3 linked regions of the Drosophila melanogaster genome follow. The protein of the gene in region 3 interacts with the protein of the main gene of each other region in a pairwise test. Each region holds a gene or a part of one and is shown on either strand. Other genes may lie near its edges. The genes, in order: LpR2, CG11596 and Sh.

What was found.
Region 1: the proteins of Sh (region 3) and LpR2 interact in a two-hybrid assay, tested with the Drosophila melanogaster proteins (one large-scale study listed by BioGRID).
Region 2: the proteins of Sh (region 3) and CG11596 interact in a two-hybrid assay, tested with the Drosophila melanogaster proteins (one large-scale study listed by BioGRID).

Annotation. Positions count from the first base shown.
Region 1 is NT_033777.3:25,736,035-25,743,797, reverse strand, and holds the start of LpR2 (lipophorin receptor 2), read left to right. Parts: upstream 1-3,332; 5' UTR 3,333-3,553; intron 3,554-4,175; 5' UTR 4,176-4,187; coding exon 4,188-4,743; intron 4,744-5,108; exon of another isoform or gene 5,109-5,771; intron 5,772-7,763. Other genes in the region: LpR1 (lipophorin receptor 1), read left to right, coding at 1,273-1,406, 1,483-1,644, 1,786-1,818.
Region 2 is NC_004354.4:1,924,780-1,932,826, forward strand, and holds CG11596 (uncharacterized protein), read left to right. Parts: upstream 1-2,903; 5' UTR 2,904-3,006; coding exon 3,007-3,140; intron 3,141-3,392; exon of another isoform or gene 3,393-3,486; intron 3,487-3,554; coding exon 3,555-3,801; intron 3,802-4,221; coding exon 4,222-4,391; intron 4,392-4,464; coding exon 4,465-4,605; intron 4,606-4,674; coding exon 4,675-4,932; intron 4,933-4,993; coding exon 4,994-5,414; 3' UTR 5,415-5,731; downstream 5,732-8,047. Other genes in the region: Ocrl (oculocerebrorenal syndrome of lowe), read left to right, coding at 1-10, 72-257, 324-656, 724-1,600, 1,667-1,853, 1,915-2,139, 2,200-2,387. UniProt on the Drosophila melanogaster protein: S-adenosyl-L-methionine-binding protein that acts as a sensor to signal methionine availability to the mTORC1 signaling pathway.
Region 3 is NC_004354.4:17,985,709-17,993,146, reverse strand, and holds the start of Sh (shaker), read left to right. Parts: upstream 1-2,467; 5' UTR 2,468-2,813; intron 2,814-7,438.

The sequences.
Region 1 (7,763 bases), on a different chromosome or scaffold from region 3:
CTACCCTGTCACTGTTTTTTTCTCGATTCACGCACTGTTTATCAACACTTTCGTGGGATTCTGATTCAGATTTATTGCAAGCGTATTAATCAAACTGCTCCCCAAGATCCGCACGCCACCAGAGCCCCTTTTGTGCGGATGCAGCCAACCCACAACATTGGCTTTGTCATGGCCCACATTAATCATCATCAGGAGCTCGGAAGAGGTATATACCCATATATCCTTGACAGTTTCATAAATGCCAACGCAGTTGAGCCACTTGCATTGCCGCCAACCGCAAGTAGGCCCTCGCCTGGCACAACACTGCAATTGAAACCTCTAAAGAGAAGCCATCAAGCACCACCCCAAAACCGGCATCCCATCCTGTTCCATCATCCCCAGCCGCAAAGTATGAGGTTAATATCGGTGGTTTCGAGTGACGCCTCCACCCAGAGGAGTGTTTGCTTTAAAGTGCGGCTCAACTTAATGTTGATAACTTTTAATGTTTTGACTAGGAAACTGAAAGAAGTCCACCCGCGACGCCTGACAAAAATCCCATTAAATGCGCTGCGCAAACGATGTCATTAGGTTACCATTCCCATTCCCATTGCCATTTTCATTCCCAATCTAAGTCGGCGGCAGGCCGCTTCTTTCGCATAAAAGTTAGCGCCATCAAAGGCGCGAGCGCGTTTAAGTGTTTATTTGCGCCTAAATGCGCACTTTGAGCGATTTGATTGAAAATTCCTTCGCTGCTGTGGAGAATGGAGGATTTGAGGGGGATTCTAAGCGGCTTGGATTTTGATGTTGATTCCCTTTTTTTTGCTCTGCTTCTTTATTGCAATGATTTCCGTTTGCCTTTTTATACAGTTTTCCCTTTTGTTTATCATTGCCGAAGGTGAAGTAGCGTTTAAGCCCTGTCATAGTGCGACAAAATCTGTATTAAAGGGTTGGAAAAATGTCGTAGTTGTTCAAAACATTAAATTTAGCATGCTATGAAAAGGATTGTTTTAGATCCTGATTTAATTCGCTTTTAATGTTGTGTGTCAATTATTAAGAATTTTTGAACTTTTTGTAGCATGTTCACAGTTTCAACTATTTCAATTTATTTGTTAGCTCTAAAAATTTGTTAATAACGTATGTTGTTTTTATTGTTACATATTTCATAACACGTTTGAATATGTTTATAAACTAATATAAGTTTGTGGCAGTTGTGTTCATATTTGTTCGATCGTTTTTTGTTCATCTATTATTTTATTGAAAATTTGTCTAATTCCGACTTAATTTTTTCCGCAGTTGCCGACCAGCGTCCAGTGAAAAACCATACTCAAATCGAAAAGACCACAACGCCCAGTGAGCAGCCGGATTCCGGCTTTATTGCACTGGTGGTCATAGCCAGTCTTAGTGGATTCGCTGTCCTGCTATCGGTGGTAAGTTGATTGGGCAGAGATGTGGCGACGTTCGGGGTATTCAATTAACTAATCAATTTATGTGGTGCCCTGACAGCTCCTGCTCATTGGCTACCGCTACTGCAGCAAGCGACGCATCAACTCGATGAACTTCGAGAACCCCATCTACCGCAAGACCACCACCACAGAGGATCACTTCAGTTTGCGCAAAAATCTGCCGGCGCGGATCTACGACCACACCAGTGTCATGGATGAGGAGGTGGGTCTCCAATTATTAATTACCATAAAAATCCAAGTATAATGATAAGCATTGGGTTTAACACACCCGCAAATGATTTAATTTCCCTTCCATAATATTAATCGGTATACTTATTATAATTTATCTTAATTTATCTTGCAGTACTCACCCGTCATAGGCATATCCTCGTATTAGATTGATTCCTCTGGAATCGTGTGAAATGTGGATTGGATGATTGTTGCGCTTGGTCGCTGGGAAAATTAGATGACCAATGCTAACTCGAGACCCGCGGCAGAAACACACACGCCTGAAGACTGAGCAACTCTGTGTATTGTGTAAATTAATTATTTTAAAATTTTAAGGCACGGCAAGGACGGCGGGTCACCTTGGAGCGCATCCTTAAAGGATGCTGTACAAAATACTATGTCGCAGAGTTCTATCACAAATAAACAAAAGAAAAACAAAACAGAAATAGTTACGAGAAACGTAAAAGGAAACGAGAAATCTAATTGCTAATTATAAATTACATAGTTCCAAACTGTATATAGCTGTAAGTGTGCATTATTTTTAAATGACGCAACTTAATATTACTATACGTAAACATGACAAAGAGATCATTGTGCTTATGGTCTACTATTAGAGCAAGTTGAGAAATTATATTTCTGTTGTCAAGGAGCAGAGTCGTTTTATTATATTAAAATTATTACTGCATACGTATTAGCCTTTTGTTAACTGTATTTGTTAAGTGTACATACATATGTATATGTTTCCCCACTAAAAAGAAAATATGATGAATAATAAACTCAGAACATACTTATGTGTAGCGTACTCCTGTGATATAATTACATGACTTTGTGGATGGGATTTTAATTTGATTGATTTCAAAGTGTGAGTGGTAAGTTGCCAGCTATTTTTCCAGTTTTTATTTCCAACATTGTCCAATTTACAATTTTTTGCTGAATTTGTAGCATTTCGTTTCATCTTCAGATGCACAGCTGTTAAAAATGCACATATATTTCTGTTCCTTGAAGAAATCTCAATTGGAAATGTACCGAAGGGGAATAATTCATCAAAGCTTGATGATTTTACACTTTGATGATATCCAGACTTGCTAAAAGCCCATCGTGTTTCTCAAGCATCTTTGTTATTCAAATGGAAACCATGTTATGAATTGAAATGCAGAGGTACAGGTGCTGTCAATAGATCAATTTCCGCTACAGTAAATGGTTTAACATTTATTGACCAATTGTGATTTACGTGTGTCTATGCTACAAAGCCCATTACTAGTTTCAATCGAAGCCTTGACTGATTGACCCGGGCCAACAAACAATTTAGACCTGTAATTTTAGAAATTGCTACCTCACTAATTGGATGCCGAAACGACAAATAGTGGAACACACCTCCAAAATAGATTGATACACGTTCTAAGAGAGCGGCCGAAGAGAGAACCACCTGTTAGCTCTGATTCAATGTCAGCTTATTTGCGCACTGGTAGCTTTGTCTTCTCTTTGTGTTGGAGATCGAGGCTTTTGATTTTCAACGCTTTGGGGCTCCCCCCGATGATGACGTCGACACTCTCTTTTCTCTTCGCAGGTGTGATATGGTACGCGTGGCGATCGTCGGTTCGTTGCCGAACGAAAGACGAGCACTGCCGAAGTTTCTAAGACGGTTCCATTGGTCCGCTCACTTCGGAAGCGATATTCCGGCAGTTTGTACTCGCAGTGCGTGTCGCTAGGTCGTCGCTGGTCGCTTATCGCTCATACGCCCCATGCTTTGGATATAACTTCACCGTTAAACCGAGAAATTTCGGAATGCGAAAAAAGTTTCGGAAAGCAAAAGTTCAAAGCAAATAAAAAAAAGTTCAAGCCGGGGCTTTAAGGCCAGCTCATCGCATTTGTCGAGCGGAAATAAGTGTTAATTAAAAAAAAATGTATGAATCTATTTTGGCCGAACGTTACGTCAATATGTCATGTGAAAAAACAGCATAAATTTTAGTCCAACATGTGTTTTGCCATTCAATAAAGTAAATACAAGATTTGAACAACCAGAACCCATTCCGAGCTGGAATAATGGTGTCAATGGGTAGTGGCTGCGCATGACTTACCAGGCTTACCTGGCTTATCAACCGTTATACCGCTGATAGCAGATATATCCAAATAAAAAATTATTTTAATGTTTTAAAATGAGTGAGAGGGACAGCATAAGGGGCTAACCCTCGCTTTGACCAAAGGCGTCGCCCTTAGCTTGCAGTTTTATGTGTGTATTTCGTGTTTTCTGTGCTCTTATGCTGTTTTTTCGCAACATCGTATGTTTCTTTTTCCCTTCATCGCCTTTTCCGCATGTTTATCGTACCTATGCCTTACACTCTCATCCCGATACAGTCGATTCATTCTCTCACTTTTGTGAACGTTTTTTTGGCAAACGTTGCGTGTATTCGCCTAAACTTATTATTTAATGGACGTGTATAAATAAGTTGGCAAATCGAACCAGAGTGAAAAGCGTGTGTGACCCACTGAGCCTAAAGTGCAATTTCTACCGTATATATATTCTAGCAGCTGCAAAAGATGGCCACAACCTGCATGCCGCATTTCACGGAATATTTTCAAACCACCACCCAGTCAGAGTTAACAACAAATGAAAGTGCCAACAGCAGAAGCAGCAGCAGCAGCAGTGGCTGTAGAGAACCGTCCAAAACCAGTGGCTTCTTCTACAGCGCCAGCACACATTACCAGAGCAAAGTGCAGCAGCTAATCAGCTTCAGCTTCACCTCATCGTTCCACCTGCTCTTCATCACCTGCATACTGAGCATCAGCAAATTCTGCAATGCGGCGGCGGTAAATGCCGCCCATGTGACCGCTGCCACGCCCACTGCCAGCGAGATAATGCACAATCTGAGCGGATCGGCGCTGCTAGAGCGTCTGAAAGCCAGTACTCTGGGACCCACCCTCGATCAGCTGAAGCATCTGGCTCCTGCGGCAGCCAACAGCATTAGTCCTGGTACAGGATCTGGCATGGGAATCGGGATGGGACACTTTGGCAGTTCCATTAATTCGGTGCTAAACGGAAATCCTTTAAAGTTCTTGAATGTGTCAGGAAAAATCGGCACTCCTTTGGACATATGTAAGTTTTTACAAGCCCATAAAAATGGTTTATTCCTAGAAGTTCTAAATGCTAGAGGTATTTGTAGTTATAAATCTTTTAGTCACTCTTTTTATCAACTTGTATTTATTTTTATGATTCATGAAAGGCTTAAACATTCATACATATTGCCGGCGAATTATTAGAATTAGTCAACTATTAACATCACGTCACAAATTAAGCTTTCCATCATATCAAAACTAATCATTTTTGTAAGAGTTGCCGTATTTTAAATATCTATTAAAAAGCTATGAATATAAAATTCAAAACTAAAGTGCAGAATAATCAAAATTTAAACTGAAAAATAATTTAAATCACAATATACTTTGCAGCCTTAATTGAGAGTTGTAAACACTTAAGGCTCGTAATCATGGTTCGACTTTGTCGGATCTTCTTCGATTTCTCCGAGTGTAAGGGGATGCGGTGTTTATAGTTGGTGGCTCCAACTCCAACTCTCTCATTTCTGGCGATCATGCCACCAGCCATGTGTACATACGTATGCATACCCCGATTTCCAGTCCGACTCCGATTTTAGCTAAGGCTCCGACTCCGACTGACTCGGCTCAAGTTTTATTTATGTGAATTTTGTTGCCAGCCGAAAGCCAAAGCGTCTGGCAATGCCAGTAAACTGCACTTCCATTTCCATGTCCCAACATTCCACATCGTCATACGATTTCCAGACTGCAGAGCTCTTTCCCTTTTCTCCCCATGCTCCGTGCTCTTTTTTGTCGGCAGAAACCTTTTACTTTCCTCTACAACTCGCCTCTGCTTACACTGTAATAAAAGTTCCACTAAAACTCATGCTTAAAGTGACTAAAGTACCGGGATAAAATCGAGTGTGGCATACTTTTTGGCGTGCTATATATGACATTAAAAAAAAGGGTTCTTTAAAGTTCAGAATTTATGCATTTTCTTTCGGTGTACACTCTTTGCTTGTTCTGCTTCCCCTTATAATTATTCCATTTTATGCTTATTTTTTGTACCGGCCGGCATCGCTACATGAAGCGAATGGAGCGCCACTTGAAGACTTAAACTCCGGCGGCTCTTGTGAAATGTACAGAGAGAATACCGAGAAAGAGAGAAGAGGAGAGAAACCGTGGTAGACGGGGGAGCAGAGAACAAAAAGAGCAACAAGTGGCCGATTCTTGGAGTTTCTTGGCCTTGCACATTGGTCAACGTTTTTTTGTAAATCGATCCGAGCACGTGGCAGATATATGTACATTCTACTCCAACATAAACTGGAAGTAGCTCGACTTATTTATAAACATTTGTTGTTACCAAGCTGATCTCGATATCTATTTTGATTATCCCCCACCCAGAAGTAATTCAAGCACTTTAAAAAATATGGCTTAGCTTTAAAAAAACATAAACAGAAGATTGACTAACGAAGTAATTTTAGCTTCAAACGCGGCTGTTTGTAAATGACATTGAATAAGCAGGCAGTTTACATAAAGGCCTACGTAAAACATTCAAAGAACATTCAAAACATTCAAACATTCAAATTGGTAAGAAAATTGCTGAATAATCAATTATTTGCGCAAATTAAAAGTACAGTGTAGAACCAAAAATACAATAGACCCTGATTAAATATCAGGGCATAGTATCGACCATTTCACCATTGTTAGTCGCTTTTAATCTGAATATTTTAGTCCATCATATCGAAATATGAATAGTTTTTGTTATGTTCGCAGTAAGGGAATAACAAATGGTTGGACTCCAAGCAAGTTTGTTTTTAATCTTCAACGAAACCTTCAACTTGGCTAAAAGCGGAGGGTTAAAACGCTTTGGATTTAAGCCAACGAATGTCAAAGGTAAAAACAAAATTAATAACGCTGGGTCATGATAATAGCCGTAGCTTTAAGGTTAAAAGCAGATGATTGAAAGTGGGACTAGCGAATTATAAACCGTTGCATCAAAAGATAGTTTGCCATCAATCTATGTCAAATTTATTTTCGTGCTTTTAAGTGGTTTCTGGTCGAGAATTATCAACTCCTGTGAGTAAATGCATTTCCGCTGTACTTTTGACAGTTTTAATATAAACCAATAGCTCAGGTGCCAAATAAATCGTGAGACAGGATTTAATACGATTTATAGGTCATGGCATGACAGTAATTTCCGCCCAACTAAACTTGTAGTAAGCCAAAACGAAATCATTGCAAACTACTCGGGAGGACAAAATTGACAACTCTCATTTGGCAGCAAGTTCTGGGCACGTCCTTGACAGCTTTAATGACTGCTTTTAAACTGCGACAACGCAAGTTTCCCAGGCATCGACTTCCTGGCCGAGCTGATTTATTTCAAAATCGAATTTAAACAAGTTTGCAGGCGACGATGGCGAGGAAAAAATCACCCGGCCAGTCCCAACTTGGCCGGGACATTTTTAATTAACTTGGCTAATTACGCCTGGAATTTGCACGTGCTCTCTGGATCCCACTGTCCCCGATACAAACTTGGTCCCTTAACTGGAGTTGGCTGCATTACAGACCGTCTGCCTTAATTACAAAAACATTTGCCATTATGTATAATTATGAGCAACGAAAAAAAAATTATTTTCATTTGTGCTTTTGTTGAAAACTGGTTTCCAACACTAATGGAAGCCAACAAAATGCACTGCAATTGTTCGTGCTCGAGTGACAAAATTCATAAGCGATGCATGCAAAACACAATCTAACTGTGTTAACTGTATCTCAATGCTGGCCTGAAATGAAATGAAATCTGCCAACAAAGTGCGAGGGTCAGACCTTCGTTAGCCTTCTATTTCCCACACAGCCCAGCGAATTTCTCTTCTCAAATTGGTTTTCTATTTTCGGGCATTCAATTAAAATATTACGCATACGCAGCGTTGGCGTGGCGCATTCAATTGCAAAGCAAAAAAGGTGGCGTGATTTGTTGGCTAGCATTAGCTGGGCTGTCAAAAAATTCCCACAATAGATACTAGGAAAGTGCATTCATTAGAAAATCAGCAGAGCATATTCTCGCCCGGCGCTATATCTCACAACAAA
Region 2 (8,047 bases), about 16 Mb from region 3:
AGGACATAATGTGAGATGGAAAATGCCCTGTCAAGCAAGAGTTCTCACGCACATTTATTCAATCCTTGCAGCATCTACTGCGCCACTTGGAATGTGAACAACAAGACCTGCAGCGACAGCAACAATCCACTGCGAGCCTGGCTGGCTTGCAGTGAGAAGCCGCCGGATATCTACGCGATTGGACTGCAGGAGCTAGATACTCCCACAAAGGCTATGTTGAACTCCACCCAGGTGCAGGCCATCGAGAAGCAATGGATGTGAGTGTGCCACATAAGTTATATAGCCTCGTTACCGAGAGTCTAAGTTGGTTCTTTCTCCCGCAGCGATAAGATGATGGACAGCGTCCACCCTGACGTAGAGTACGAAATCCTGATGTCGCACCGCCTGGTGGCCACCATGCTGACGGTCATCGTGCGCAAGCAGCTGCGGCAGCACATCATACGCTGCCGACCAAAGTCGGTGGCCCGCGGCATCTTCAATACGCTAGGCAACAAGGGCGGTGTCGCCATTAGCCTGCAGCTCAACGAGGGCAACATCTGCTTTGTGAACTCCCACCTGGCCGCCCACATGGGCTACGTGGAGGAGCGGAATCAGGACTACAACGCTATCGTGGAGGGCATACGCTTCGATGATGGCCGAACAATCAGTGACCATGAGTAAGTTTGGGGAAGAAGGCATAAGTATAAGTCAGTATTATTTCACTCCATCTCTGTCTTTTTCTAGTCACATCTTCTGGGTCGGCGATTTGAATTACCGCATCCAGGAGCCGCCCGGCCAACAGCGACCAGGACCACTGAGCGATGCCCAGACATACGAGCTGCTACTGCAGTACGACCAGCTACGTCAGGAGATGCGGCGTGGAAAGTGCTTTGAGGGCTACACCGAGGGCGAGATCAAGTTCCGGCCGACGTACAAGTATGATCCGGGCACGGACAACTACGACAGCAGCGAGAAGCAGCGGGCGCCGGCCTACTGCGATCGAGTGCTCTGGAAGGGCACGCGCATCGAGCAGCTGGCCTACAACAGCATCATGGAGATTCGGCAGAGCGATCACAAGCCCGTGTACGCCGTGTTCCAGGTCAAGGTCAAGACTCGCGATGAGGTCAAGTACAAACGGGTGCAGGAGGAGGTGCTGAAGGCAGTGGACAAGCGGGAGAACGACAACCAGCCACAGATCAATGTCGAGAAGACGGTCATCGATTTCGGGACTGTGCGATTTAACGAGCCGAGCACACGGGACTTCAACGTCTATAACAACTGCCCACTACCTGTGGACTTCAGTTTCAAAGAGAAGGATATACACGCCATCTGCGAGCCATGGCTGCACGTCGATCCGCGCCAAGACTCGCTGCTGATCGACTCCGCCCGAAGCATTCGGCTGAAAATGAACGCCAATGTGCGCACCATTGCCGGCTTGCTTCGCAAGATCCGTGCTAGCGACAACTTCGATATTCTCATCCTGCACGTGGAGAACGGGCGTGACATCTTCATCACGGTTACGGGCGACTATCAGCCCAGTTGCTTTGGCCTTTCCATGGAGACGATGTGCCGCACCGACCGTCCATTAAGCGAGTATTCCCAAGATCAGATTAAGCAACTCGTGAGTTCCCTTCATTTTTGTAATTACGAAGTTTTTCTACTGATCACGAACCACGTTTCGTTGCAGATGAATGACGAATCACCGGAATACCGTGTGACGATGCCCCGGGAATTCTTTCTGCTGATCGACTATCTGTACAGGCAGGGCTCCAAGCAGGTGGGCGCCTTCCCGTCCTACGACTCGCGTCTCTCCCTCGGCGCTCAATTTAACTCGGTGCGCGATTGGTTGGACACCTGGTCGGATGATCCGTTCCGTAAGTGGACTCTATTAGATTGCCACCATAATAGTTGTGAATATTCCCTTACAATCTACAGCTGCCAACGCAGAGACGGCTGCGCAGGCGCTGCTGCTTTTGCTGGATCTGCCGGAGCATGCTCTGCTGGAGCCGGTGGTCGAGAATCTGCTGGAGTGCACCAACAAGTCGCAGGCTATGGACTACATTTCGCTGTTAAGTCCCCCCAAGCGCAATGTTTTCATGCACCTTTGTATGTTCCTGCGCGCGGGCATCGAGAGTCAGTTCTATGATCTGCATCAAGTCGGTAGGTAGAGAAGCTCCAGCAGCATTGTACCACCATCGTAACGCCATTCCTCCCACACAGCATCCACCTTTGGCCGCATTCTGTTGCGAAGCACCGAGCGTGCCGCCTGGATGGACTACCACAGCCGATGCATACAGTTCATGCGGCTCTTCATCGACACCGACGTCGAGGCAATGGGCAACGGCAATGAGGGCGCCGGAACTGGAACAGGCTCGGGATCTGGGACCCGGGCGGGTCTGCAGGCATAGTCGCCGCAGCTGTGCCGCCGAATCGGAAGCGAGCGATAGATGTACTACTCTGTTGATAGTTACGCATAGTGTTAAGCTATTTATTTTATTTGTTGGTACTTTGTTGGCACTTAGCATTTATATCTTCTCTGTTTTAACTGTTAATTGTTTGTGCCCGCCCTCCGTTCATTCCAACTCGGTTGTCCCCGCCTGCATCACAAATCCATGGAGACACGCAACCAGCAACGCAAAGATAAATGAATTGTGTAAATAAGTAATTCGTTTAGCACGATTGTTTGTTAGTTTAAATTAATGAAGTGACCCTCTTACATCCCCGTTTCAGTTGCAACTGAAAATAAATAACACCGTTACATACAGTATCAATATTCTGAAAAATCTCTACATTGGCTGTTCACATATTTGGCCACGCCCGCCAAAATTTTCAAAATTAAAAGACGCGCTACGGATTTGTGAGTACGGATGGTATCGATTAAATTCCCAAAGTTATCGACAGTGTAACCAGATCTAAAGTGGCGACTTCAGTTGACGGCAGAGACGACAGCAGAATGCAAAGGCAACGGATTACTCCCAGGATTTAAATAGCATAGATTATCGTTGAAACCGCTGACGACGCGCCCAGATGAGCTCCATGGACTGCGCCACGTTCCCAATGCATCCTAAAATGGACGAGCAACTGGCCCGAACCTTCGTCATCAACGAGGAGGAGGAGGAGAAGCACATTCAGAAGGTGCAGAACGCCTTCCTTTACTATGGGTAATTGTTATTGTTTTTGCGCTGTGTTCTGGAGCACATGCTCCAAACGGACGCTTGCCAACCGATCGTCGTTGAGGGGGGGCGGTGCGGTGACAGCGACATGTGCAGACAAGCTGCCGACAAACTACCGTTTCGTTTGGCGCCAGTGCTGGCGGTGCAGGAGTAATCACGCCAAATCTGGCTAGTGTTTTCAAATGGCTCACCGTTCCTTAGAAGACGCATCTTCTAAAGTATCCAATAGAGCCAAACTACAACTGAGTGTTCATTACCACCATTACTGACATTTGGGTGAAAAATATCTGCATACCAAAGATATCAGATTGCCCATACAGCGTTTGTAAACACTGTAGTGTGTCATCACTGGTGATAAGCGTGCTTGCTGATAATGGAAATCAATTAATTTCTCCCATGCAGGCCATATGCGTGTCAGCGGCTAAAGCGCTCCATGGATTACCTGAACAGCCTGTCTGGCGAGGACCAAATCATGCTAGCCAAGTACCGAGGGCATCTGGAGTGCGTGCGCACGTGCATCGATCGCAACCAGGCGGTTATCCGGGAAATATTGCGCGGGCGTGTCCTCTATCCGACGGATGAGGCGACTGGTGATCCCTCGGAGTTTGACGAGCCGCCGCCAAATGTGCGGCACGGTGACATGGACCAGGTAATTGACTACATCTGCGGTTCAATGCGGAAGCTAGACGGCGCTCCTTCATCATCCCACAAATCCCAATCTAATAGAATTTATGTTCCTCTTTTTACTTTATCTTCTATTTTTCCTACCGCTTTGTAAATGGTCAGTTGAATTTGTCCCTCTTTATATTTTCAAATATTAGAATTACTTTTGGTAAAACAAGGGAAGAGTAATATGTATCTTTAAACTGGTCATTCTTGTGCTTAAAAATTGTTTCTACATGTCAATAGACTACTCACCTTACGTATAGTTTAATGTGCTTGGTTATCCTCCAATATCTTCAGTTTCTCTTTTAATTATTGATTGGAACTATTCGGTATTGTTTCTTTTCCATATCTGTGCACGACACCCAAACCATGCATCTCGCACCCGCTCTAATTCAACTCGCAGATTGATATTCCATTCGATGAAGCTGACGTTGAACCTCTAAAAATTTTAAAGGCCCAGTCGACGTTGAAGTTGATTGCGCGCGACTGGAGCACTGAAGGAGCCTTAGAACGGGAGCAATCGTATAAACCGATCATCGACAGCATCGTTGCGTACTTCAAGCACAGCGATTTGTGAGTGACTACTACACTAAGCGTACTTTAGTGGTCTTACTAATTAATTATTCATCTGCTTTATCTTAAACAGCGAGCTGAAGGATATAAAGATCCTAGTGCCGGGAGCGGGGTTGGGACGGCTCACCTACGAGCTTGCCTGCTTGGGGTACTCGTGCGAGGGCAACGAGTTTTCCTACTTCATGCTGATCGCCTCCAATTTTGTCCTCAACCTGTGAGTCCAGCTCAGTACGTTGCTTTCTAATGCTGGGTATTGAACGTGCTCTGTTGTCTCTTTCGGCAGCTGCGACAACGAGAACAAGTACGTGTTATATCCGTGGGTGCACCAGTATGTGAATAACTTAAGGCGTGAGGATCAGGTGGCCCCCGTTCGTTTCCCAGACGTCTGCCCGCTTAAAAATCCACCCAAGGGCCATTTTGAAATAGCAGCTGGCGACTTTCTGGAGGTCTACAAGACGCCGAACGCCTACAACTGCGTGGCTACGTGCTTCTTCATCGATTGTGCCAATAATGTTATTGACTTCATACGCACAATTTACAAGTGAGTTGCACACATTTGAACGGGTATACCGGCGATGTTGATTTTAACATTATCGTTGCAGAATCCTCGTGCCTGGTGGCATTTGGGTGAATCTCGGGCCGCTGCTGTACCATTTTAGCGACGTCAGCGGGCAAAACAGCATCGAGCCGGCTTTCGAGGACCTTTGCATTATCATGGAAAGCGTAGGATTCGTTATCGAGAAATCACGCACCGGCATCCGTACCAAGTACGCACAGAACCCGTCTTCAATGAAACAGAGCGAGTACCAGAGTCTTTTCTGGGTCTGCCGCAAGCCGGATCTATTTGAGGAGCAGCGGGGCAAACGCAAGGCCTCCAGGGAGCCACACGATCTTATTGTGCGCGAGGACAGCGAGGAGGAGGGGGAGCAACAGCCGGAACGAAATGAAACGGAAGAAAAACAGCAACTGAAACCGCTGGCCACAGCCAACTGCGAGACTGAGATAAAGGAGCAGCCATCGTGATAGCCATTGAACCAAACTCAACAACACATCCAAACACCACAATCAAGTCCAAGTGCAAACCCACCTACAGATGGCATCACGAACATCTTAATTACCACGTCACAGGCAAGACAGGGAATCGACACTGCAGTGCTTCGATGTTATAGATTACACTTTATACCTATTATTTACTCCTACACACTGTTATATATGCCAGTTTTAATTTTTCAAAGGATGCAAATTTTAGGACAATTTCTCGCTCATTATGCTCATCATGCTAACTTAAATGGGAAAAGCGTCCCAACTAGGTCAACCAAATATATCAAAAGAAAATTTTTAAAAATTAAGATAAAAAGTTTTTATTTGTTCAATTACTAGTGGCTTTAAACCGATACCTACCAATTCGATAGCCTTATTAAAGTTAACGCAAGTTCCACTTGCATCAGGGTTCTCGGCACTCGCTGCCGCATACCTCACCTTGATATGACAACCAACATGCTGTGGTTCTCCAAATAATAGTCAAGATAGTTAAGAGGGTTCGAGTTTACGATTAGCTTTATTTTAAGATTCAGTTCGCGATCTGCTAGCGGTTCCGTTATGTGTCCGTTCGAGACTGGGCCTCTTCTCCCGCCCCGCTGCTTTTATATCCGCTTCCCCCGTTGACCCCTCACCCTGAGTGCGACCAACGGCACTTGTTCCGAATGCACACATACACAAACATGTTCCTAGACAGGCCCCGAGTCGCCTGCTGACGGGGCCCGAAAACACGAGAGCCGAGCGCTGGTGAGTCCTGACGAAGATCGCAAGAAGAGGGTTCGTAACTTACACGAACATGTTACTAGACAGGCCCCGAGTCGCCTGCTGACGGGGCCCGAAAACACGAGAGCCGAGCGCTGGTGAGTCCTGACGAAGAGCGCAAGAAGAGGGTTCTTAACTCCTCCCCCCTCAAGATCTGCGTCCCGCAGATTAGTGAGCCTTGTTCAGCTCGGTTTGGCCCAATGCTTCTAAGTTTGCGGCAATCTCGCGGACATCGGGCATGCCTTTGGTGGACATCAGCTTCTTCCATAGGAAATAAAAGCCTAGGAATATGCAGATTGCGAGTGCCGCCTCGGTGAGAAGAGAGGCTAGTAGCTCACTCGCCATGTTGGACATCTTTTCCAAATTCTTCATGCTCACGTCGTGGACGTATTCCAGAGAAAGTTGAAAGTTGCTGGCCGTTATGTGGCTCAACACGGCCGGCATCGCCATTAGATGACTGACCGAGTAACTGGAATAGTTTTGACCGTTGACCATTATCGTCTCATTGTCGAATTGGATGATAAAGGAGCCGATCAGGTCGTAGTTCTCTGCAGCCGTTCTTAGAGTTCCGTTGAAGTTGGTCAGGAGGAGCATTCCATCGTCGACTTGCTTAACCACTCGTTGGTTACTTCAGTAGCCGAGGGATACAGCTAGCCTCCTCCAGTTTTTGCAGTTCCTCGAAGCCGTCGCTTGCGCGGCCAAGACGGCGTTCCAATCAGCAGCATCTGGAGATCCAGCTACCCATTTCCAAGCCGACCCCAGCCAGTCCAGTGAGCGGGATTTGCGCCGCATGCAGAAATCGCGCTTACAAAAAGACAATTCGTAAATATCTGGTCGTCTAAGTTGTTCTAAGACTACGTAGTGTGTGGGGGTACGGTACATTTTGTGTACTTATATTTTTATTTTTTTATATTTCTTATTTCTTATTTCTTATAATCTGTATTTTTTTATATTATTTTTTTTATAGTTTTTTTTGTATTTCTTTTTGTATTTCTTAACTCATTTTTTTTTTTTTTTTTTTTTTTTTTTTTTTATTAATGTTTTTTTTATATAGGGTATGCATGGGTGGAATATTTCATTAGCTGCCACAACGTACTTTTATTACTTTCGTTATTCTTTTTCGCGTTTCTTTTTTAAATGTGAAAGCCACGTCTCAATTTCTTAGATCAGATTTGTGGAAAATTTTTCCTGATCTGGTTTTAACTGTTACCTTGTTGTCTTCCTGTACCTTTTCGCATCTGAACCTCGCTTTTTCCTTTGTTTTTATTTGCTTATTTGCAACAAAAACTTCATCTCCCGGCCCATAAGACTTTGGCTCGTCCCTATTTTTATTCCGAGCCATATTACCTCTAATTTGCTTATACTCAATTAAGCCCTTGATGTCCTCTAAAGTCTGCCGCCGGAAATCTGTCAGACCCTGATAGTTTACCCTTGACGAGCGGTCGAAAAAAACGTCTGCTGGTTTTCGATTCGTTACCGAGTGAACGGAAGTGTTGTAGCGGTCCACTGCTATGTGTACCAGCTCAACGGGTTTGAAGGTAGGGAGCTCATCTTTAAGGCAACGATAAATTTCTAGGAACGTAGAGTGGAATCTCTCGACTTGACCATTTACTTCGCTCTTCTGGGTTGGAGCATAATACAGATCGATATCTAGAGACCGAAGATAGTTGAGCACTGTGGGGCATAACAACCCTCGCTCGTTATCCGAAACCAAGACCTTAGGGGCGGTGAAGTAATGTAGGGCCTCCACCAAAGTTTCTCGCAAATGCACAGATGCTTTTGACTGCAGATGGAAAAGTTTGGCAAACTTGCTAAATTTGTCAATACAACTTAGGTATAACCTTTTTTCGAGCGCA
Region 3 (7,438 bases):
TATCTATCTTTAGCCGTAAGCCTTGACTTGATCGGTCAGTTCTATATGCCAAATCATTCTGTATAATCATGCATTAATAGTACTCTAAATGCTTATTGTTTCGCCTTATTTGCCATTCGCACTCGTTGCCGCCAAATGCCTTTGCTTGGCACATGTATCTAGAATCTATAGATAATGATAACTCGTAACTTGTACTGTGTATTGTGATCATATGCTGATACATATACATTTAACAATCTGTCTAATCGCTGTTTTTCTTTGTTTCCTATTTGCAATACTCCACGATACCCACGATGACCGAACTCGATATGAACTAATACCATCAACTTCCAGGTAAGTCACAAAATACAATTATCTAAATTGGAAGATTGTGTGGGCTTAATTCTATAAGGATTTTATGGAAGATAATCTAAAATCTTAAACTATTATTGGTAAAACATTAAAACAAGTGTATATATTTCTCTGCAAGCATTAAGTCATTAAATAGCAAATGAAAACATGAGGTGAAATGTCATTTAACATTAAAAATCTAATTTTCTGAACTGAAGAATTATAAGTACTGCAGCGACTCTTAGAAGATTGCTCAAAGAGGCTAAAGTATCCAAAATGTTGACAATAAATCCCAATCATTCAAAACCTATAGAGTTTAAGAAACTAGTAAGTGCAACTGTTAGAACTAAATGAGCTTTTATTTTTAAACCCAAAAGACGTTCTTATTTTAGTTTATTAGAAAGATTATAACATTTTCTGGATAACTTCGTCTCATTAAAAAAAAATATTTCAATAATATTAGCTTTTCTCCCTTCAATAAATTGTAAAATGCTATTTGGTAAAAACTATTAAATTATAGTTAAAATTTCACAAACGGTTGTATTTTACAACCTAACCAACTTATTCTCCAAATGCTTTTGTGTGGCTATAAAAGGTTTGCGTTCCGATAAATTTTCGTCCAATAATTTTTCAACGCAAAACCTGCATTAGCAAGGACACCAAAGCTTAAAGCTTTTCTGATTTTTTGAAAATTGAAGAGCTTAAAAGCTTGACTAAAACACAATTTCTGATTTGAAGAAAACTTTCTGATAGCTTTTAAGCTGGGAAAACAAATAGCTACGTCAACTTTGTTGAAGCAGAAGCCAGAGCTTTAAGCTGCGCTTTATCCAGCTTTCCGTGGCCCTTTTCTCTCGCTTTCCCTTATGTTTTCCTTTCCGAACTTTCCCATGCTTTGTTTGGGCGCGCGTTTGTGTGCGTGAATGTGCCATGTGTTTATTTATTAATAATTGCATTACTCATACGCCACGCCGTCCCTCGCTGGAAGCATGGCGTTCAAGTGCACACGTGACACTTATATGCGTGTGTCTGTGTATTACTTGGGAGCCTTTACATGGCCATGTGTGTGCGTCCGTATGTGTGTGAGTGTGCAGTTATTCGCATTATTATAATCAAGTGGAGCCAACAAAAGGGAAGCGAAGGAATAGGCTTCGGAAGGGGGGAGCATAACGAGCCCGGCGGCGTTTTAAAGCACACATTAATAATAGAGGAGCACACCTTTGCCACCAAAGGGTGGTGGTGATGCGGTGGCGAGTTGGAGGGCATGGGGTTGTGGCTTTTGTCGTTTCTCCTTCGATTCGATTTTCTCTTGCTCCCGTGTGCATGTGAGTGTTAGTGTATGTTTGTGTTTGGTTCATTTACAGTTTTCACCTAGTTTTCGTGTTTCGGTTGTTTTGCCTTCGGCCGCCGCCTCAGCGGCCCCTAGCGGCATTTGCTTTGTTTGACACCGCCACTCATCCCCGCCGACGGGCCCCCATTTCCAGTCCAGCCAGGAGCTAGAGCTCCATCTCCAGCGGACGGTGCCCGAGTGTCGCCAGAGTCGCCAGTGTCGCCAATGTCCCTGTGCCCATGGTTCCCGCTCTTCTTGCTCAGCCATGTTCACCCAGGCTACTCTTTGGCTTTGTTGTTGCGGCTCTGCTTTGTTGTTGGTTTTCATTTTATTCATTTCGTTTCTTTTTTTTTTTTTGGTTTTGTGTTTTTTGGGCCTCCTCTGGTCGCCGTGTTCGTGCCAAGTGGCACTAAAACTATTTGCCTTTTGCCCAGTTTTCGTATGCCTTTGGCCAGCGGGAACAGGAGCGGTACCTGCCACACAGCACAGTACAGAACATCGCACATCACACATAGCACACACTCGGCACACACAGAACACAGCACGCAACACGCAAGAGGCGCCATCGGAGTCGGAGTGCAGCAGTGGAAAACTCCGTATAGCTTTAGATATATAGCTATACGATCCAGTCCGCTGACAAAGCCGGAGCCAATGCAGCAAAGCAAATCGCACGTGCTCGCCTCGGCCCAAAATGTTCGTGGCGAGTTCGTGGCGCCCAACGTGGGGCGTTCGTGCCACCGCATTTGGCTCGGCTCGTAGTTCGGCGGTTCTTCTATCGCCGGACACTTTTGCAGCGCCTCAGTTCGGTTCAGTCGTCGCAGTCGCAGTCACGTCGTCACAACGTAATCGTGCAACGCGTTCCGCGCTTGGCGGCGACTGTCGTCAGTCAGTCAATCAATCAGTCAGTCAGTCAGTCAGTCCGTCAGTCAGTCGGTCAGTCAGTTAGTCAGCCAGCTAGTCAGTTAGCTAGTCATTCATTCAGTCAGTCAATCAGTCAGTGTGTCAATCTGACAATTGGAGTTTCTATCCAGACTTCAATATTTTTTTACCTCGCTCAAAACCCCCCACTCGCACTTTAAATAATAAAAAAAAGCAGGTGGTGCGTGCCGCGTAGCCGCGCGTGATTCTTGTTGTTGTTTTTTTTTTTTCGGTGAATGTGAGTGTATGGTTCTCTTTTTTTAAATGGTAACTCTTGTTGTTATTGTTATTCCGAGCTTGGTGCGTGCCGCAAAATTCGAAACACAAGGAGAAACTCCATTTAAAAAAGGCGTTTAAAACAGCTTAAGAAGCCATTTAAGCACCCTTCCACGCGCCACAGAAAAGGGATGAGAAGAGAAAAATACACCAGGACATGATCAGAGGCTCCAGGGGAATCCTGGAGTCCCTCCAACTGTATCGCCCTATCTCCGACTGTTTCTGTGTTTGTTTACCTTAATTAATGCACTGGCAAGCGGCAAATGGACCTGGACACTGCCAACATAATTTGCCTAGGGGGCGCCACTCGAATCTACACTGCTGCAGCCTCCGGTGGAATGATGATTCTGATGGTAGTGGTGGTGGTAGGGGATTGTCCACGCCAACTTAGCCCACTGCAGGTCGAGTTAATTAATATTTCACTCTAGTTAAGGGGGAGAAAGTGGAAAATGGTAGGGATTGGTCGGGTGAAGTAGGTTGAAGTAGGGGTAAGAGGCACCAGTGAAGTTTTGCTTATATAAGCAACTTCAATTCCTATTGCCTTGTGCCATTTCCATTCCCATTCCCATTCCCACTCCCATTGCCATTTCCATTTCAGTGCAATTCGAGTGGCCCAAAAGAGCCAGAAGGAGCAAAAGCTGTAGCAGTAGCCTAAAGAGAAACTGGCAAATTGCTCATACGACGCATTGGCGCCGTCAAAAACTGAACGAGCCACAAAAGCGGAATGAGGAGTGGAATGAGCAGCCGAAGCTGAAAGAAAAACAAGTTGACCCAATTTACAATTGTAAATCAAACTTAAAATCACAGCCAAAGTTAAACAAAAATAGAATGGTGGTCAGTAGCAAGAAGGGCAGGCATGTTTAATTTACAATAAGACAGCCTCAAGGATCGAATTCAGAGATCAATTGAATGCCTCGAAATTAAACTGGGCAGTGGCCTTAATATTTGACCACAAATGAAGGCAACGTATAAATTTTGTATGTCAAAAACAAAAACCCAGAAACAGGAACTGCATTGATTGGATTAATGGCTTATGTTTCGTTGCTTCGACCGTTTTCTTTCCATTGTCATAGAGAGCATATATAAATAATAAATACACGGGCTTGCAACACAATTGTGGGTGAAAGCAGGCTTTTCCAGCAATTCGAGCACCTCAGTATGCAGTGAAAACTAAACAGATGAACGCAAACATTGGAGTAATTATGTTGGGGATTTTGAAATGCATTCATTTTGTGGTTTCATCTTTCAGCAGAGATGAGAGGTTTACCATAACTTTGCCATCCGTATTGTTTGGCAAGTCACTTGGATATCTAGGAAAACTTTGGGCCTTCCGCCCTTCGCTTTCCACCAACCACCCAGTTTTCCCATACAAATTAGTTTGGATTTGGATTCTCGCTCTGTTCATTAATTTGTCTAAGAGCAGCTGAGGTTTTTCCCCGTATTACAACTTGAGCACTTGGGCATGTGAGGTTATTATTCAGCCTCGTCTTTGTATTTTTGTTTAAGCTTCTTTTGTTTTCGCTCCTCCTATTGTTTTCCTCTCTATGTTCCCCGCTTTTTTTACGCCTCATGTTCTCATTGTATTTGCGATTAAATTCAAGTTTGACTCGCACACGCCAAAATTAATTGGGCACTTGAAAAGTTGAACAAGTCGATCGAAAGGGGGGCGAATGGTTGCAGGGGCTAGATGTGCCGTGACGGCTCGACAGCTCAGCCTTCTGTTAACCCTTATCCACTCAGTGGAAAGTGGCAAGGGGAAGGAGAATGGGTGGGAAACCCCTTTGTAATGTTCTAGGCAACTGATTTATTTTGATTGAACTTTGCATGCAAGCAGCTGAGGCAACAGGAAGAACTCCTGAGCTTTCGAGCAACAACTGGCAAGTGAAACATCATAAAACAAAGCCAGTTTGTGGTTGAATACGAATACGAGCACAGCCGCAGGCTTGGTCTTGTTGATGGGTTGGGGGGGGGGGTCTGGTTTTATGGGGGGGTTACTACTAGATTGAGGGGATCGGAGGCCATTCGCACGCACATTGCCTGGTTTTTAGGCGGCAAGGCTTAGGCTTAGCTCCAGCTCAATCGTAAATGCGTCGAGTGTGGTTCGTTCTTCTCCGCACTCTTAACCCCTTTGTGCCAAAGCTGCTCGCCAGTGTGCCAGTGTGTCTGTGTGCGTGTGTGTGTGCAGGCTAAGTGGTTATGGCAACAACAGCGCTAATAAATCCCCTCTGCACACGCCTCTGGTGCTCGCTAAGCTCTCCTAATGCCACTGAGGCAACTCGGCTTTGTCTTTCGAGTTGAATTTGCCCAGTATATGGCGCATATATCGAGTGCCTTTAAAGTGGTCGTCTGTCTTCGCAAAAACATCAGCAGCTTCCCTGATTGAATGGTGGCGAATTTTTATTCTTGCCACAACTCGATATATCTGCCAACTGTTTTGCTCCATTTTGTCTTTCCTGCCACGCTTGGCCATTTAGTTTTGGCCCAATTGCTAACTTACATATGTATATATTTATGCGCATATGTTTGCGGTCGGGCATGAACACACACACTACAAGAAAATTTGGCCACCAAAAATATGCACAGAGTCGTATTTTATATATGCTATATACTTGGTGACTTTATGCCTCATATATATATATATATGTATGTAGTATATGTCTTCCGCAACTATAAAACATTTAATGTTGCAGTGAGACTTTCTGATTTCCTTTACAAAGTTTTTAAAACTACTTTAGGGGCTTATAGAAAAAAAAATGGCAAATACTTGCTTTAGTATGCACGTTGATTTTATTTTACTAAAATGTAACGAAATGTTCCAATTAAATGAGCCTTTAGATAGTTGACCTTTGGCAATCCCGAACTTAAAATTGCCAGGGCTTTGGGTGATTTGTGTTAACCTGAATTAGTTCTCAGTGTGCCATCTATCTATGGATATTGTAAATTATTCGCCTGGATCCGGAATCTCTTGCCAGTGGATTTTGGTACTCCGGCCAGAGGCTGTGCAGCTCGGCTCCGAGAAATGTGAAATGTGAATTTCGAATGGCAAATGGCAAATGGGGAATGTAGGAAGTAGAACGGAGAACGGAGAAAGGAGAAAGGAGCACAGAGAACGGAGAAAGTTACGCACTGCGGCGATGGTTTTTGGGCTTTTAATATGCTGTCGAGAGGTGGAAATATGTGTGTGTATGTATGGATACACGGCTGTGTGTGCGTGTAGATTGCACGTGCGCTGCGTGATTTTAATTTGAAACAAACATAGCCAGAGCACCCAAACACACACCAATTTTGCGTTCCTTTTTTTTAAGGTTTTAGTTTCTTCTCTACTCTTTTTTTATATTTAATTTTGTTCATTTTTTTTGTGGCCCCGGCTTTTCACAGTTTTATTTGGGTTTTCCGTTTTCGCTCGGTTCTCATTCCTATGTTTTTTTTTGCCGTTTTATTTGTTTTTTTTTTTTTTTGGTAATTCTTTTTACGACTCAACAAGCAGCAGAAGTATAACAAACCAAAAAGGAAGAATACAAACCAAAAAAAAAAAAAAATAAATAAAGAGAAAACAAATAGGGCGGGTGGCACAGAGAGAACATTTATTGATCTGCGGCCGCTTGAAGCCAATTTGAAGGTCAAGCATACGCACCGTGGTACCTCCGAGATGGGGCCATCTTCGCAGTGAACGAGTTTTGCAGTGTTACATAAAAATATGCAAGCGGCAACCAATTTCCCTACACCCCACCCCATTCGCCACCCCGCTCGTGACGTCATGGTAAATTATTTTCAAATTTGCGCCCAAAGGCCAAACAAGAAGCAGCTGTGCTGCACAAAGCGGAAACGGAAGTAGCAGCAAGGCGACAGGAGGCCACAGCACGGCAAACATAGCATACTTTTCAGGGCTCTGTGGGTGAAAGGCCGTAAGGCTGTACGAAGTAAGGATGTGCGGATTGGAGGACTGAAGGCTCCCAGGCTTGGAGCCTGTAAAGCAGCGACGACTGCAGTTTGGCTCCCGCTGCTCCGCTTGTTGTTCCGTGTCAAACATTTTCATCCACTTGTTCGCATTATCCTGCCAGACAGCGCACAGCGGGCGAGGGCATCAAAAGATGCCGCCAGCAGCAGTAGCAGCAGCAGCACAACCAGTGGCAAAAATTGTTACAATTGCCGTGGCGCATGATGGTTACGGGGGCTGAAAGCCAAATCCGTGCGAGCCAAACGGGCGAGAGAAAAATGAAAAGAATAAAATGGCAATAAACAGGCAGGAAAATGGGCCTGATAATGCGAGAGCTATATACACTTTGCATGCCATGCTATGCGATTGAAGCTATTAAAATTCAAGTAGTTCACTTTTCCTTTACAAAATCCTTGTCCAACCAGCTATGCAAATGGGTTCTTAATAATACGTCATTAGTTCATTGATTCAATCTAAGGCAAGAGATTAATTGACCCTTGTTAGATGTCCCATCTAAGTCGATAAAAACTTCAAAATAATCTCATTTCAAAGGTGTAATTATTTTGATAAAATCAGCTCAGCTGCCTTTTAAATTCCACGTTTCGTTTCGTTTCCTCGCTTCAAACTGCGAAAAAATTGATATACCTACA